Stegostoma tigrinum: one gene and its partner. The protein of the gene in region 2 purifies or fractionates together with the protein of the main gene of each other region. This does not show direct contact. Links are inferred from orthologs where the notes say so. Each region holds a gene or a part of one and is shown on either strand. Other genes may lie near its edges.

Region 1 (7,224 bases), on a different chromosome or scaffold from region 2:
TATATTTAAGTATGTATTTAATTTTATTTTATATTTTAGATATTTTATACTGAGTTTTAATCAGAAAGAGAGTTAAGGGTTTTGGGGAAATGCAGAAAACTGGAGATGAGGATTATCAGATCAGCCATGATCTTGTTAAATAGTGTAGCGAACTCAATGGGCTGAATGGGCAGAATGAATCTACCCTACACCTTGTGTTCTTATGACCTTACCTGAAATGACAAAGGTTTTATTAGTTAGCTCTGCTACTCGGCACTTTTTAGAGATCATTTCTATTAGTCACTAATTTATTCAAATTATTGCTTTGGAATTTTGTTTCAAATTCATGTTTAGTATTTATGACTTTATCTGCCCAAAATTTGTTAGCTGGCCCTGTATGAGAGATAAATGGAAAGATAGTTCCTCATACAAAACAATTGGAAATCCCTGATATGTTTGTGTGAAGACCCCAAACATTTGGCATTAGCTAAAGACAAAGATGACACAAAGCTAGGTAGGAAAATATGTCAAAAGAACATAAAGAGACTACGAAGGGATTTAGTCAGGTAAGTGAGTGGACAAAAACTTTCGAAATCAAATTGGCAAAGATGGCCTGTAGGATGTGTTCCTGGAATAGTTTCAAAGACAATACACACTGGAAGCTACAAGGGAACAACTTTATCAATTGGGAATGAAACAGAATAAATTAATGACCTTTACAGTAAAGGATGCCTTCGAGAGGAGTGAATAAGGCATGAAAGAATTTGAGATTCAGTTTGAGTGAGAACTGCAGGTCCATAACAAATCTTTGGATAAAGGCAGAAGGATGTCCAAACAGTTAGCGAAAGTCAATAGTCTTCAAGGTTAAAGATAAAAAGTCACCCCATGAATATTAGAAAATCAATCAGCAAAATGAAGGAAGTGAAAGAAAACAGTCACCAAAAAAGCACAGGAAAAGCAACAGAAATCAAACACACTGACAAGTCCACTGGATCTGATTGTCTGCATTCTGTGGAATAAATGAAACTAGCGACAGAGAAATGGTAAATGCATTGGTTGTAATCTTCCAAAATTCCCTAGATTCTGGAACAGACCCAGCCCAGTGGAAAACCAGAAAATACACCTATGTCCAAGAAAGGAGAAAGACAAAGAAATGATAGATTAGTTACTCCAATGTCTGGCATTAGGAAAATGCTACAATTCACTACAAAGTAGGTAGTGGAAGGACAATCTGAAATTAATACTATCAAGGAGAGTAAATATGGTTTTGTGAAAGAAAAATTTGATTGATATTTGCAGTAATGTCCTTTAAGAATGTAACAAGCGACATATTTAAAGGGGAACTAGTAGCTGTAGTGTATTTGGATTTCTGAAAGGCATTTGATAAAATCACTGCATGAAAGCCAACCACAAAAGGTAAGCATTCATGGTGTTCAGGGTGTTTAGCATGTGTAGAGAATGAACTAAGAAGATAAAAGTGGTTGAGATAAATGTGTCATTAGTATGATGACAAACTGTAACTAGCAGAATACCACAGGGATCAGTACGAGAAACTGACTATTCACCATCTATGTCCGTGACTTTGTTAAAGGGACTGACTGTTTTGTAGCCAATTCTGCTGATAATACAAAGATAAGTTGGGAATTAAATCTACAAAGAATGGGGAGTCAGAAATTATCAGATATAATGCAATGTGGGAAAATGTGAGGTCATCCAATTTGGCAGAAATAGAAAAGCAGACTATTATTTAAGGCAGAGAGACACTGCAGACTTCTTATATATATCACAAATAATCAGCCACCAAGTGCAGCATGTCATTCGGAACACAATGGATTTTAGGCTTCGGCACCCTTGTGACACATTGGTAGATCTCTACCTCTGAGTCAGGTGGCCTAGGTTCAGATCCCACCACTCCAGAGGTGTTACATCCCTGAACAAGTTGATGAGGCAAGTGTTTGGAATGTTGGCATTTATTACAAAAGGAGTGGAGAATACAGGTAGGGATGTCTTAAAACTGCAGAGGCCATGAGTGAAATCACATTGAGCACAACTCTGGTCAGCTTAAGGAGGGAACCCTACTTACACTGGAAGCAGGAGGAGAGTCACTTAGAAGATTTGCAGGATGAAGAGGTCTGTCTTATAAGGAGAGGTTGAGCAGAATGGGCTTGTTGGAGGTTAGGAGAATGAGATCTTATTGACACAAAGACGTTTCTGAGGAGGCTTGTCAAGATGGATTCTGAAAGGATGTTTGCCCTCAGGTGCAAGTCTAGAATTAGAAGCCAGAGTTTTAAAATAATGAGTTTCCCATTTAAAATGAAAATTACTCATTCCCTTAGAGGCAGGTTGACCAACATTTGAGGAAAAGATTAGGGGAGGCTCACCAAATCTTAAGTGTTGCTGAACTTCCAAGGACAGATTGCAGCTGAAAATGAGTAGGTAGGTGGTTGTTGAGACTTTACCTCTGATGAAGTTGTTGGAGCAGAAGACCAGCAAAGCATTCTGTGCATAAACCATTACCACAACGCTCAAAAGTCAAAGATCTCTAAATGGCACCTGTGGGGACTGTTGACAGTTTTTGGGAATCCAGAACAGAACCCACAGTATTGGAGGTATTATATTGGCATGAATGGCGAATTGACTAATGGGCAGGAAACAGTCAGTGGTGATAAGGGTTTTTTTTCAGCTTGGTGACTTGTAACCAGTGGGTTCCACATGGACCAGTGCTGGACCGCAACTGTTTACTGGAGTATAAGAGTAGGGAAGTCTTATTGTAACTACAAGGTGCTAGTGAGACCACATCTGGAGTACTGTGAGAGCAATTTTGGTCCACTTATTTAAGGAAATTATTTAAATGGAGGCAGTTCAAAGAAGATTCACCAGGATGATCGCTGGTATAGAGGACTTGGCTGATGAGAGGTTGAACAGATTGGGACTCTACTGTTGGAACAAGAGTGATATCATTGAAACTATAGGATTCTTCAGTAGCTTGACAGGGTCAAATGCTGAAAGCATGTTTCCCCTCATGGGAGACTCTAGGACCTGAGGGCATAGTCTCACAATAAAGGGGCATCAATTTAAGACTGAGATGAATAGGAATTCCTTCTCTCAGAGGATTGAGAGTCTTGGGAACTCCGTGCTACAGAAAGTTGTTTTGGCACGGGGTCCTTATGTGTATTTAAGGCTGAGATAGGTTCTTGATCAATAGGGAAATGAAGGGTTACAGGGAAAGAGCAGGAAATAGGAGACGAGGAATGTTGAATCAACCATTATGCTATTGAATGGCAGAGCAGGCTTGAAGGGCTGAACAGACTACTCCTGTTTCAATTTCTTATGGTCTTAATAGTTGGTCACCCTCTGTAGAGGGTAGTTTGTGTTTTGAATTCACATGGAAAGCAATGTAATTTGGGCTATTGAATACATTCAAGTCGGAGTTATATATTGACAAGGGAGTCAAAGATTCCAAGGAGGTCAGGCATGAAAATGGAGATAAGGCCACAATCAGATCAGCCATGCAAGGTGAAGTAGACTCAGGGCTGACCTGAGTCACCTGGGTATGTTCTTATTGAAAGGGACATTGTTCTTCCTCAGGGAGTAGACCCATAGAATTATATAAGTATTATGGTGCACATGAAGCCATTCAGCTCATTGTGCTGACAACAGCTTGTGAAAAGTGCACCAATACCTAGTGCCAGTATCCTGCTTTCCCCTCATAGCTTTGAGTGTTATTTACATCGCCCTCTTGAATGCGTCAATTCAATGTGCCTCCATCACATTTCCAGGCAGTGCATTCCATAGCCTAACTACTCACTGTTTGTACAGGTTTTTCCTCACTTCACCCTTGTTTCTTTTGTAGATCACTTTAGCTTTATGTCCTCTTGTTCTTACATAAAACAAAGAGAATGTGCATACTGCAGATCTGAAACAAAACAGAAATTGCTGGAGAAACTGAGCAGGTCTGGGCAGCCTCTGTGGCGAGGATGCAGAGTTAAAGTTTCGAGTACAGATTCCCTTCTTCCTCTTACGAGCGGGACCCATTCAGTCACTCAGAATCATGACGCTGATTGACCGACTCAATCCAACAAAATGTTTTAACGAATAGGAAGGCAAGAACCCGGGCCAGGCTGGAGCCACACTGTTCCCAGGCTATTTTCAGTGACCAGGTTCCGCCTGTATCAAACGTGGCAGCGCCCGGGGTGGGGGGGAAGCCGTACAGCTTTTGCGCATGCGTCTGGATGGGCTGGGATCTGGTCTGGTCTTGTTCCGGGTCAGTGAGGACTTGCAATGGCGGCCTGTGGTAGTGAGGCCCGGGTCGGCGATGTGGAGGAGGACGCTTCCCAGCTGGTGTTCCCGAAAGGTACTGGCGGAGAGGGAGAGGGATGGATATGATGATGATAATGGGGTGAGAAAGGTAAATCATTGAAAGTTCCTGCTGTATTCTCAGTCAGTTCTCACTCTGTTTTATATGCTCAATTCACTTCTAGTTTGCCCTTCAAGAAATGCTGCATAAAGACATAACATAAGCGACAGGCCACCAAGTTCAAGAGAGAATGATAACAATAGCAGCAGTATGCTCAGGGAACAGGGTGAAGGGTTGGCCACTGAGCATGCCACTTTCATTCTCCTTTTGTGAGTCAGAGAATCCCTGTAGTACAGAAGGAGGCCATTTGGCCCATAGAGGTCGGCACTGACCCTCTGAAAAACATCCCCGGCAGACCCACCCCATCCTTGTAACCCTGCATGGGGCTTTTAACCATGGCCAATCCACATCTTTGGACTGTGGCAGGAAACTGGAGCACCCGGAGGAAAACCACACGGATACAGGGAGAATATGCAAACTCCACATGGACAGCCACCCAGGGTCGGAATTGAACCTGTTACCCGGCACTGTGAGGCAGCGATGCGAACCACTTTCAGGAAAGCCTCAGAGTTGTAGAATCATACAGCACAGTAAAGGCTTTTCTTGCCCTTGAGTCTGTTCCACCATAAATACACTACTTCCTTTGCTATTCCCACTTAAGTTCTTCACTTACCTTTTTTAAAAAAAAGCTTATGAATTGCTTTCTGCCAAATTCCAACTGTACACATCTACTACTCAGCAAATGTTCCACTGGAGAAGCATGTATGTGGCACAATGATTTAATCCTCTGAAATTACCTTGCTCAATGTGTGCAATACGGTACTGTTCGCTCCCTCTTTCTAGGCTTCAGATATGGAAACTCAGTACACAGGAATGGAAGGAGTTAACCTGTTATCAGGTGATCGCTCAGAGATAGCAAGAACTGCAGATGCTGGAGTCAGAGATAACACAGTGTGAAGGTGGGGGAAGAGGAACACAGGCTAAGCAGCAGCAGAGGAGCAGGAAAGTTGATGTTTCGGGTTGGGACCTTTCTTTAGAAATCTTCAGAAATCAAGGGACCTGACCCGAAACGTCAATTTTCCTGCTCCTCTGCTGCCTGGCTTGCTGTGTTCCTCCAGCTCCACACTTTGTTACCAGTTGATAGATGTTTGAGCTTAAGTACTATCAATATGGTATTCAAAAAACTAAGTTATTGGAAGTTGTTTGGGAGGGGCATTGTTAGGTAACTGACTGAAGGTTTGGCTACATTTTGGTTGTTTTGTTTTATGTTGTCACAGAGTTTGAAAGCTCAGAGACCCTGTTAAACTCTGAGGTCCACATGTTGCTGGAGCACCGGAAGCAGCAGAACGAAAGTGCAGAAGATGAGCAGGAGCTCTCTGAAGTGTTTATGAAAACGTTAAACTATACAGCCAGATTCAGCCGCTTCAAAAATAGGGAGACCATTGCCAGTGTTAGGAGGTCAGTGCGTGAGGATTCGAAAATATTCAGTGCACCTACTGATCTGCAGTATTGCTCTTGCTGGGGTTGGGAGGGGTGAATTAATTCTCTTACTTGTCCCATCCTTCCCTGGTCCCAACAGATTTGGAATTTGAAAGGGGGGGGGTATTTTCAATTATATATAGTATCAGATTGTATATTTAGTCCACATCAAAGCAAGTCAGCCATGGTCTTTAAGTAACAAGTCACGAATTAACTTATTGTATATGAAGCTTACTGAAGCAAATTGTTGAGATTAACTTAAGGTTTAAGCTGTCAAATATATTCAATTTCTCCTGAAAAATAACACTCACTCACTCGGATGCAGTGAGAGAGACAAATTTGAAAACATTTCAATGTGTTTTCTTAAGTGTTTAACCAAGTTACAATCTAATTTTTTAAAAAATCAGTGTCCAAATGGTAATCTGTAGCAGAGTCACTTTGCTTACAAAATATTGGCAATAGGATTTCTTCCTGGATCACATGTGACTAGCTGATTTTCTTTTGAATTTGGTGATAGATTCTGATTCTCCTTCAAGAACTCAGAGTGCAGCAATCAGAACTATTCCCATTAGGAACTAATACTTGATGAAATCTTTCAAAAGGTTTATAACTCAAACTTTTAAGATGAGTTTCAGAGAAAACAGAGATGGTAAGGGCTGTGCTCAAGGCAAGTTATCTCTCTGGTTATCTGAGCTCAAATCATCTACTTTTCTTTCCCTGGAACCAAAACTGGATCATGTGACTTTTCTGAAGGTGTTGTGGACTTGGCATCTTCATTGAAACAACCTGTTCCTTCTAAATGCAATGGTTTTGCTACTGTAGTCATTGTATTTTGTTTTGCAGTGTCTCTTCCTAAAAGTTCAAAGCACATATGTCCAAACAGTGCTATTATAATAATGTGACAGCTAAATTGTCTTTGTGACAGTATTCACAGCAAATTTCAGGCAAATTCAGTGGCAAGTGGGCTAATTCTATCCTCTGAGCTTAGTGCACAATTATCCTATGATGACATATTGCACAATTTTGACTTCTGACTAAGTATGAAGGTTGATAACTTGATCCTCTTGAATACTGATCCTTTTTGCCTGCTTTTGGCTCAAAGTTAACAACTGTGGCTGGGATCTGTTGACTGTGTTTGACAAGGAAATGTTTCCTGGTAACTATATCAACTTTGTCATTTTCTTTCAGTAGTTATTTTATTATCTTTCAATTTACTTGTCTACTATTAACTGTCTTACTCTATTATCACAGATAAATAGAATTGATCATATTATTCTTCTCAGTCCTGTTTACGCTTGTGTTGTATTTAATCACATTTAGGCTCTTGTGAAGAGATCGAGTTGAACTAGTGTGTGGCTTTCATTTGAAGTATAGCTTTCACATTCTCTTTCTTGTAGTCTGCTATTACA
Region 2 (7,551 bases):
TGGAGATACAAATCTCTCAAGTCTCAGACCGGCCGCTGGCATGCCTACATTAGTCCATACCTTGCCATGAACTTAGTATCCATGACAAAAGGCATATCATTTGCAAGGGCCAGTCTTGACACTACCGTTCTTCCACATAGCATTAATGAAATCAACAACTATGCATGTGGGAGGTTAACAACACTTCATATTGTGCCAGTGCAATCTCACCCAAATATTTCCATCAATCATGATCCATTCAACCTTCATCAACTCATTCGGGAAGGTTTAGCTCAAAATAAGCAATCGCCCAAGCGGTCTGTGCAAGTAGAACAGAATTCTGGGAAACACGGAGGTCAGGCAGCAAATGAGAACAGAAATTACAACTGAAGATAATAAAACGTGAGGCTGGATGAACACAGCAGGCCAAGCAGCATCTCAGGAGCACAAAAGCTGACGTTTCGGGCCTAGACCCTTCATCAAAGAGGGGGATGGGGTGAGGGTTCTGGAATAAATAGGGAGAGAGGGGGAGGCGGACCGAAGATGGAGAGAAAAGATAGGTGGAGAGAGTATAGGTGAGGAGGTAGGGAGGGGGTAGGTCAGTCCAGGGAAGACAGACAGGTCAAGGAGGTGGGATGAGGTTAGTAGGTAGATGGGGGTACGGCTTGGGGTGGGAGGAAGGGATGGGTGAGAGGAAGAACAGGTTAGGGAGGCAGAGACAGGTTGGACTGGTTTTGGGATGCAGTGGGTGGAGAGGAAGATCTGGGCTGGTTTAGGGATGCGGTGGGGGAAGGGGAGATTTTGAAACTGGTGAAGTCCACATTGATATCATTAGGCTGCAGGGTTCCCAGGTGGAATATGAGTTGCTGTTCCTGCAACCTTCGGGTGGCATCATTGTGGCATTGCAGGAGGCCCATGATGGACATGTCATCTAAAGAATGGGAGGGGGAGTGGAAATGGTTTGCGACTGGAAGGTGCAGTTGTCTGTTGCGAACTGAGCGGAGGTGTTCTGCAAAGCGGTCCCCATGCCTCCGCTTGGTTTCCCCAATGTAGAGGAAGCCACACCGGGTACAGTGGATGCAGTATACCACATTGGCAGATGTGCAGGTGAACCTTTGCTTAATGTGGAATGTCATCTTGGGGACTGGGACAGGGGTGAGGGAGGAGGTGTGGGGGCAAGTGTAGCATTTCCTGCGGTTGCAGGGGAAGGTGCTGGGTGTGGTGGGGTTGGAGGGCAGTGTGGAACGAACAAGGGAGTCATGGAGAGAGTGGTCTCTCCAGAAAGCAGACAGGGGTGGGGATGGAAAAATGTCTTGGATGGTGGGGTCGGATTGTAGATGGCGGAAGTGTCGGAGGATGATGCGTTGTATCCGGAGGTTGGTGGGGTGGTGTGTGAGAACGAGGGGGATCCTCTTTGGGCGGTTGTGGCAGGGGCGGGGTGTGAGGGATGTGTTGCAGGAAATACGGGAGACGCGGTCAAGGGCGTTCTCGATCACTGTGGGGGGACAGTTGCGGTCCTTGAAGAACTTGGACATCTGGGATGTGCGGGAGTGGAATGCCTCATTGTGGGAGCAGCTGCGGCGGAAGCGGAGGAGTTGGGAACAGGGGATGGAATTTTTGCAGGAGGGTGGGTGGGAGGAAGTGTATTCTAGGTAGCTGTGGGAGTCGGTGGGCTTGAAATGGACATAAGTTACAAGCTGGTTGCCTGAGATAACTTACAACTGAAGATAATCACTAAAGATAGACTTCTGTTCCTGACAAAAGAATAAGATGTCTGAGCCCAAATTTTCTTTACCTATTCTGATATTAACCTGTGCATTTCTACTTTGCCTTTAGATGTATGACACACAAAAACATTTTCTTTCCCAATAGTTTACAAGAGGGTTCATGCTATGCCAAAATTACTAGCACCTGTGTATGGCAGGAATAAACACTTTTGCCTGTCATGTCCTTAATCTAAGAATATTGGTACATTTTAGGACAGAAACTAGACAGTCTATTATGTCTGTAGTGTTGAATCAATTCCAAGGCAAAAAATCTCCTCTGAAATATTAAAACAAAGGAAAAGCATACAGCACTCAAATCAACAGGGCAATGCAAATCTCACCATTGATGAATCCAATGCATCACCTAGAATCATATGCAGCAAGCTCCATGCCTCATTAGTATCAACATACTGGGGATCTTGCAAATACCAAGAATTTTACTGAGGGCAGCGGGGATGAAGAGATTAGAAGATCAATCATCCCCAAAGGTTTTCACACACCTTCCAAGTGCCTACTTGCAGAGTAACACTGATATATTCTTAAGGGTGGCTCACTCAACCAGCTTGGGAAGGGGTTTGTGACATACCATTCAACTGACATTTCCCCAAAAATTTGCTATAGTCATAAAACCTCAAAAATGTTCCAAATCAAGCTGAGCACAAATTGGGCCAGGTGAATGTCATTGATTATGAGGTCCTTGACTAGGGCTGCTAACCTGAGGCAATCAGGGAGCCCTGGCTGACAGATATAAATGGGAGATTCAGAAGGTCTCCTCAGTCACGGAACTGACTCAGAGCCCTTGTACTGCACACATGTAAATAAAGGGTGACTTGGTCACAAGACACCAGCCTCTGTAATTATTTCAAACACATTTATGCTCTCCTCTTTTGCACCCATCAAGACATCTTAACAGTACAAACAGAGGCTTTTGTGCTCTTGCTGAGGTGTGCATTGGTTATCAGCTTACCATTTAATGTCTCTAGTGCCTCCTCCTTGCTGCGTGTGATCTCCTCCTGTCTCCACGAAGAAGGCCTGCGTGACTGGTTGTGCTTCACTAACAGGTGGGAACAACGAACTTTGTCAGGCTCAACAGAATTGTAATTCCCCCCAGCTTTTGGTCGCTCCCACTGACTCCGATTAGTTATATGATTGAAGAAGTAAATGCGACCTGCAAAAGAAATATCAAATGGCATCAGAGATGCAAGCAAACCAATCAAGACACACCTTGCAAAACCTGATTTGAATAGTTTCTCCTTCCTCGCTCCACTCCAGAGCCCTTGTCCCGATTTCTTCAGAAGTCTCAGATGCAGTTCCATGGGCACTGGATATCAACATGGGTTTCTACAACATCCTTCACTACAAAACACACATTACAACAACTTAAATACTACATTTTGAAAGAAATGTGAAAGGCCTTAAAAAAAGTCATTAGGACTGGATTTTTTTGTTATAAAAAGAGATGCAGCCAGGTGGATGAATATCGGCCAACGAGCCCCTCTTTGATGTTAGAATTGACTGTCACGAGGGGAATTAGAACTTCATTCAATCGTTTCACTAATTTCCAACAGTGCAGCACTCTCAAATTTCAGTGTCAGACCAGACATTGCAGCTACATCCTTACAGAGCCTGACCTTGACAAGACAGTTTTACCACTGTGCCCTGGCTAAAGCCACAGAATGCACACCCCCAAAAGCACATTGAAAGAAAATGTTCATCAGTACTGGGCACCATAGCTTAACTTACTTTATTCCATCATTTGCCATATGCATACAAGCAACTGCAGTATGGCTAACTGGACAGACAGCATTTGTGGCATCAAACCTTCTTTGCATCCATCATCTCAAAAAGCACAAAATTACACAAAAATCATTAGGAATTTATAGCAGAGATTTATCTATCACAACTTGTCGCAACACTGAGATCCACATGTCCAAAAAAAAACACAAAAACACATGACAACTACAGAAACTCTAACCTTAAATGCATAATATTTGTTGTTGGTCAACAGACTTATTTGGTGCCTGCTTGAGGTGCTTTTTCCCCTTTGTTGGTCTTGGAGGTCATTCACAGAAAAGTGTGCTCCCATCATGTGTAAAGACTGCAGCCTCTGTACAAATCAACTGTGAACTTAATCCGGGCAGTCAATACATACGTGAACAAACTACCACAGAGAGAACAACATTCAAACTTGACATACAGCTTCCTTGACATGTGTAAGATTTTTTTTGGTACTATGGTCCTCTTATTCACAGAATCTTATTCTTCTGACTAAATTTGTTTTGCTGCATTCTTCATATTTAACAATTTGAAAGATTAGACAATTTCATTTTTAGGACATAAATTCAGCATTCAGTACATCATTAGAAATGCTATGTAGGCCTCTGGTAAGGCAAAGGGGGCACAAATGTTTTCTTTTGGAAGATAACACTATTCTGACATCTTTGCCTTCCTACATTCACCTGACTGCAAGTGACACAAATACATTACACTATGTTCTGAATCTAATTAAATCAAGTGTTAAGTGTTCAGCAAGGATATGTTGCTGAAGTTGTTTACATGGAAGGGTTTTGGGTAATCTAGATTGCTTCCTGCAGTAAAGTGTGTGTTGTGATGAACTGTGAAGGCTGGACTGAAAACAGCATGTGTCTAGTTTGGAGCCCTGTCTTCAGGCTGCCATTTTATGGTACCAGCTACAGGTTGAATCTAAAAGAGACACCATCATGAACTTGGCTTTCTGAAGAAAACGGTTTTAGAATATATGCTTTATGAAACTATATACATGTTGCTTTGCTCTGATTTATACCACTTTTCGTTACTGAGCAATCTGTGGTCTGGGTCTAGGCCCGAAACGTCAGCTTTTGTGCTCCTGAGATGCTGCTTGGCCTGCTGTGTCCATCCAGCTTCACACTTTGTTATCTTAGTTACAAACATGGTGCTTTTAGGGAGGATGTGCCAGGATTTCAGACTTTAAAATAAATGAGTATTAAATAAACATCAATAATACAACTTGCCATCATGTGGTGCTTCCAACAGCTCTGGACCAATCATGAATTTTTAAAAAATTTTCACTGCATAGTCCAAACATGGTCATGTGTATTTTTGCACTTTTCAAGCTACTTTTCTCATAAATGAATGAAATAGGAGCAGGACTCATGCTCTGCCATTCAGTGTGATCATGGTTGATCTTCTTGTTAAGAGATCTTTTGTGCAATAACACCATCTCTCTTTATATATTTAATAACAGATCCCTCTTGGATTCTCTCAATAACTAAGTCACCAAACCCTTTGGGACAGAGAATTCCAAGGATCACCCACTCCCTATGAATCAGTCTGGATTGCATTTTAACCTTTTGAACCACGTACTCCTTCCCAGCAACTTTTCAATTCCATGAAAGTGCTGGAGACAAATCACATTTAGCAGACTGCTATTTTTGTAATTCCTTTTGTACTCATTGATGGGGTCAGCATCTCAAGATGAACCAGAATTTTGCTGCTCATCTCTAAAGATGCCCTCAAGATGGTGGTGCTGGCTTGTTACTGCAGTCCATGTGTACAGGTGCAACCACAGTACTGTCAGCAAGGAAGTGCCAGGATTTCAGTTTAAGCTAGATTTCCGTGTTTTCTCCTCTCTGTTAAGTGAAAACTAGATTACACAAAGTTTCCACTTGTTAAACACGAAAACAACAAACTGGCACTATTGGACATTTTTGGACAACAGCCACAAAGTAAGAATTGAGAAAACACAAAGGAACTGAAGTTCACATAACAGAAATCAATATTCAGACAAACACTATGAAATTATTCCACTATACCCATTACTAAGCAATCTAAGAGCCCATGACAGTCTTAGAGAACAGATTATCAATGTACCTACATGTTTTTACCCAAGGCCATGGAAAAATGATACATATAAAATGTTAAAACCAATTATAAAGTCCTCAGCCAGGCTTACGTTAAAAAAAGTCTATCACCAGTCTATTATCAGCAATAAAATGAAGCATATATTTCAAGCAAGTTATCTTTTATCATGACAAAATTAAAATTTTTGATATATTCAACATAGTAAAGCTACTGGAGCTTGGCTCAAGCTTCCAGGTTGCAATTTCAGCTGCATTAATAGATAATTCCCTGTGTTCATATAATCCAACATGGCTTTACTGGGGATCATTTTAATATTTGTGGAGAATGAGTACTTTCATGCAGAGCCTAGATTCATAGCTAATAAAACTCTGCTACTGAAACACAAGCCCACTGAACAGAAAAAGAGCACCTTGCAATGTAAATAATTACAACCTCCATTATTTTAATTCCCACAATTTGTCATTTTAAAAATAAGTTACATTCTGGGCAGAGCAAAAAATAAATCTGAATAGCAACAGTGGCGTACTGGTTTAATCTGGACTTTGAAAACTGGAGACATGTCTAAATTGTTACCAAGAGGACAGAGACCAGTGAAGTTATAAACTGCTTACAATGGTACATCAGTCGCAAAACATGGCTTTATGATATGAAGTCAAATTAATTTTCCAATGAGCTTTTAAAACGTCTCAGCAAATAGTTGAAAAGGTTAAAAGAACTGAAGTTGAAATACACAAGATAAATGAGTGAATAGCCATGCAATATTAGTCATAATATTAAGCCAATGAATTCAAAATATAAAAAAAAACTTGTCTATACATTTGCTTATAGATGACTGTCCTAAAATCATTAAAGCGAGATTAAGATTGCAACTGAAATAGGCTGCTATTTTAATAAAAACAGAAAATTCTGGAACGTATTTGGGTCAGACAGGACCCTGCAGAGGAAGAGATAAGGAAATGTTTCAGGTTGGAGATAGCAATAACTGCCAATGCTGGAGTCAGAGTCGATACAGTGTTTCAGGTCAGTAGCTTTGAAAGAGAGATAATTATTGAAGAGTTCAATCATTCTTCCTTTGTGATTTCCAGTACAAGAGAATTATTTCAAGGACCGTAAGATACCATTCAGCAAAATCACCAACACATTATTTTACTCTAAGATGAAGGTCACAGGGCAGTTTGACCAACCAAGAGTAAAATCTGGCACACTGGTTCTTGCAGTCATGAAACATGGGAAACATTCAATAGTTACTTTAGTTTGAATATTTTTTTTAAATTGTAGGAACTTGGCAGCATCCGTCCTCAGCAGGATATCTGAAAGGTAACAACTTTAGAAAAGGAGCAACCAATTAGTGATGTAGAAAGTTATCAGCCATGCAGGTAGTCCACTGTGCTCACTGTTTGCCAGTCTCCTCTTGTGCAGTACAATAGATTTGTCTATCCTGTACATTACCATTTCTTGCACATGGTCCTGATGAGTGCAAGTCAAAGGGCTTCGACAAAATGTGCCTTTTATCAACAATACTCAAGTTCTGTACCATCAAACCACACAATTCTAGGTCAGGTTACAAATATGTGCATTTTCTGCAGTCTCCAAGAACTGGTCAACTAAATAGGAAATTTTAAAAAAAAAAGTGGAGTTTCACTTCCACGAAATTCTCAGACAGAATACAGGATTTTTCTTATTTGGAGAGAGTGGGGGGTGGGGGTAGGATGGTAGCTTGGAAAAGGAGATCTGGCCATACTCAACTCCATAATGATGATGAAACTCCAACTGAGACAAATAAAAATCAGAGTAAAGTGGCAGAGAATGTTTTCTCAAATTTCATGGTCAGACAAATCCAGTATGCACAAAGAAGGGAGCAATTTCAATTTGTGTTGGGGGTCATGGAGTGGAAGAGATGGTTCGGGGGGGGGGGGGTTGATAGGCAACAAACACCTATTTCAGC

Evidence for each region. Proteins that work in one complex are often made in the same cells at the same time.
Region 1: the proteins of pin1 (region 2) and polr2d purify together in Homo sapiens (co-immunoprecipitation; 3 studies listed by BioGRID and IntAct, with this or other methods). This does not show direct contact. The link is inferred for Stegostoma tigrinum from reciprocal best matches to the Homo sapiens genes PIN1 and POLR2D.

Annotation. Positions count from the first base shown.
Region 1 is NC_081367.1:6,523,609-6,530,832, reverse strand, and holds the start of polr2d (DNA-directed RNA polymerase II subunit RPB4), read left to right. Parts: upstream 1-4,223; 5' UTR 4,224-4,260; coding exon 4,261-4,333; intron 4,334-5,613; coding exon 5,614-5,794; intron 5,795-7,212; coding exon 7,213-7,224. UniProt on the Homo sapiens protein: Core component of RNA polymerase II (Pol II), a DNA-dependent RNA polymerase which synthesizes mRNA precursors and many functional non-coding RNAs using the four ribonucleoside triphosphates as substrates.
Region 2 is NC_081388.1:20,180,456-20,188,006, forward strand, and holds the start of pin1 (peptidyl-prolyl cis-trans isomerase NIMA-interacting 1), read right to left. Parts: upstream 3,077-7,551; 5' UTR 3,062-3,076; coding exon 2,713-3,061; intron 1-2,712. UniProt on the Homo sapiens protein: Peptidyl-prolyl cis/trans isomerase (PPIase) that binds to and isomerizes specific phosphorylated Ser/Thr-Pro (pSer/Thr-Pro) motifs.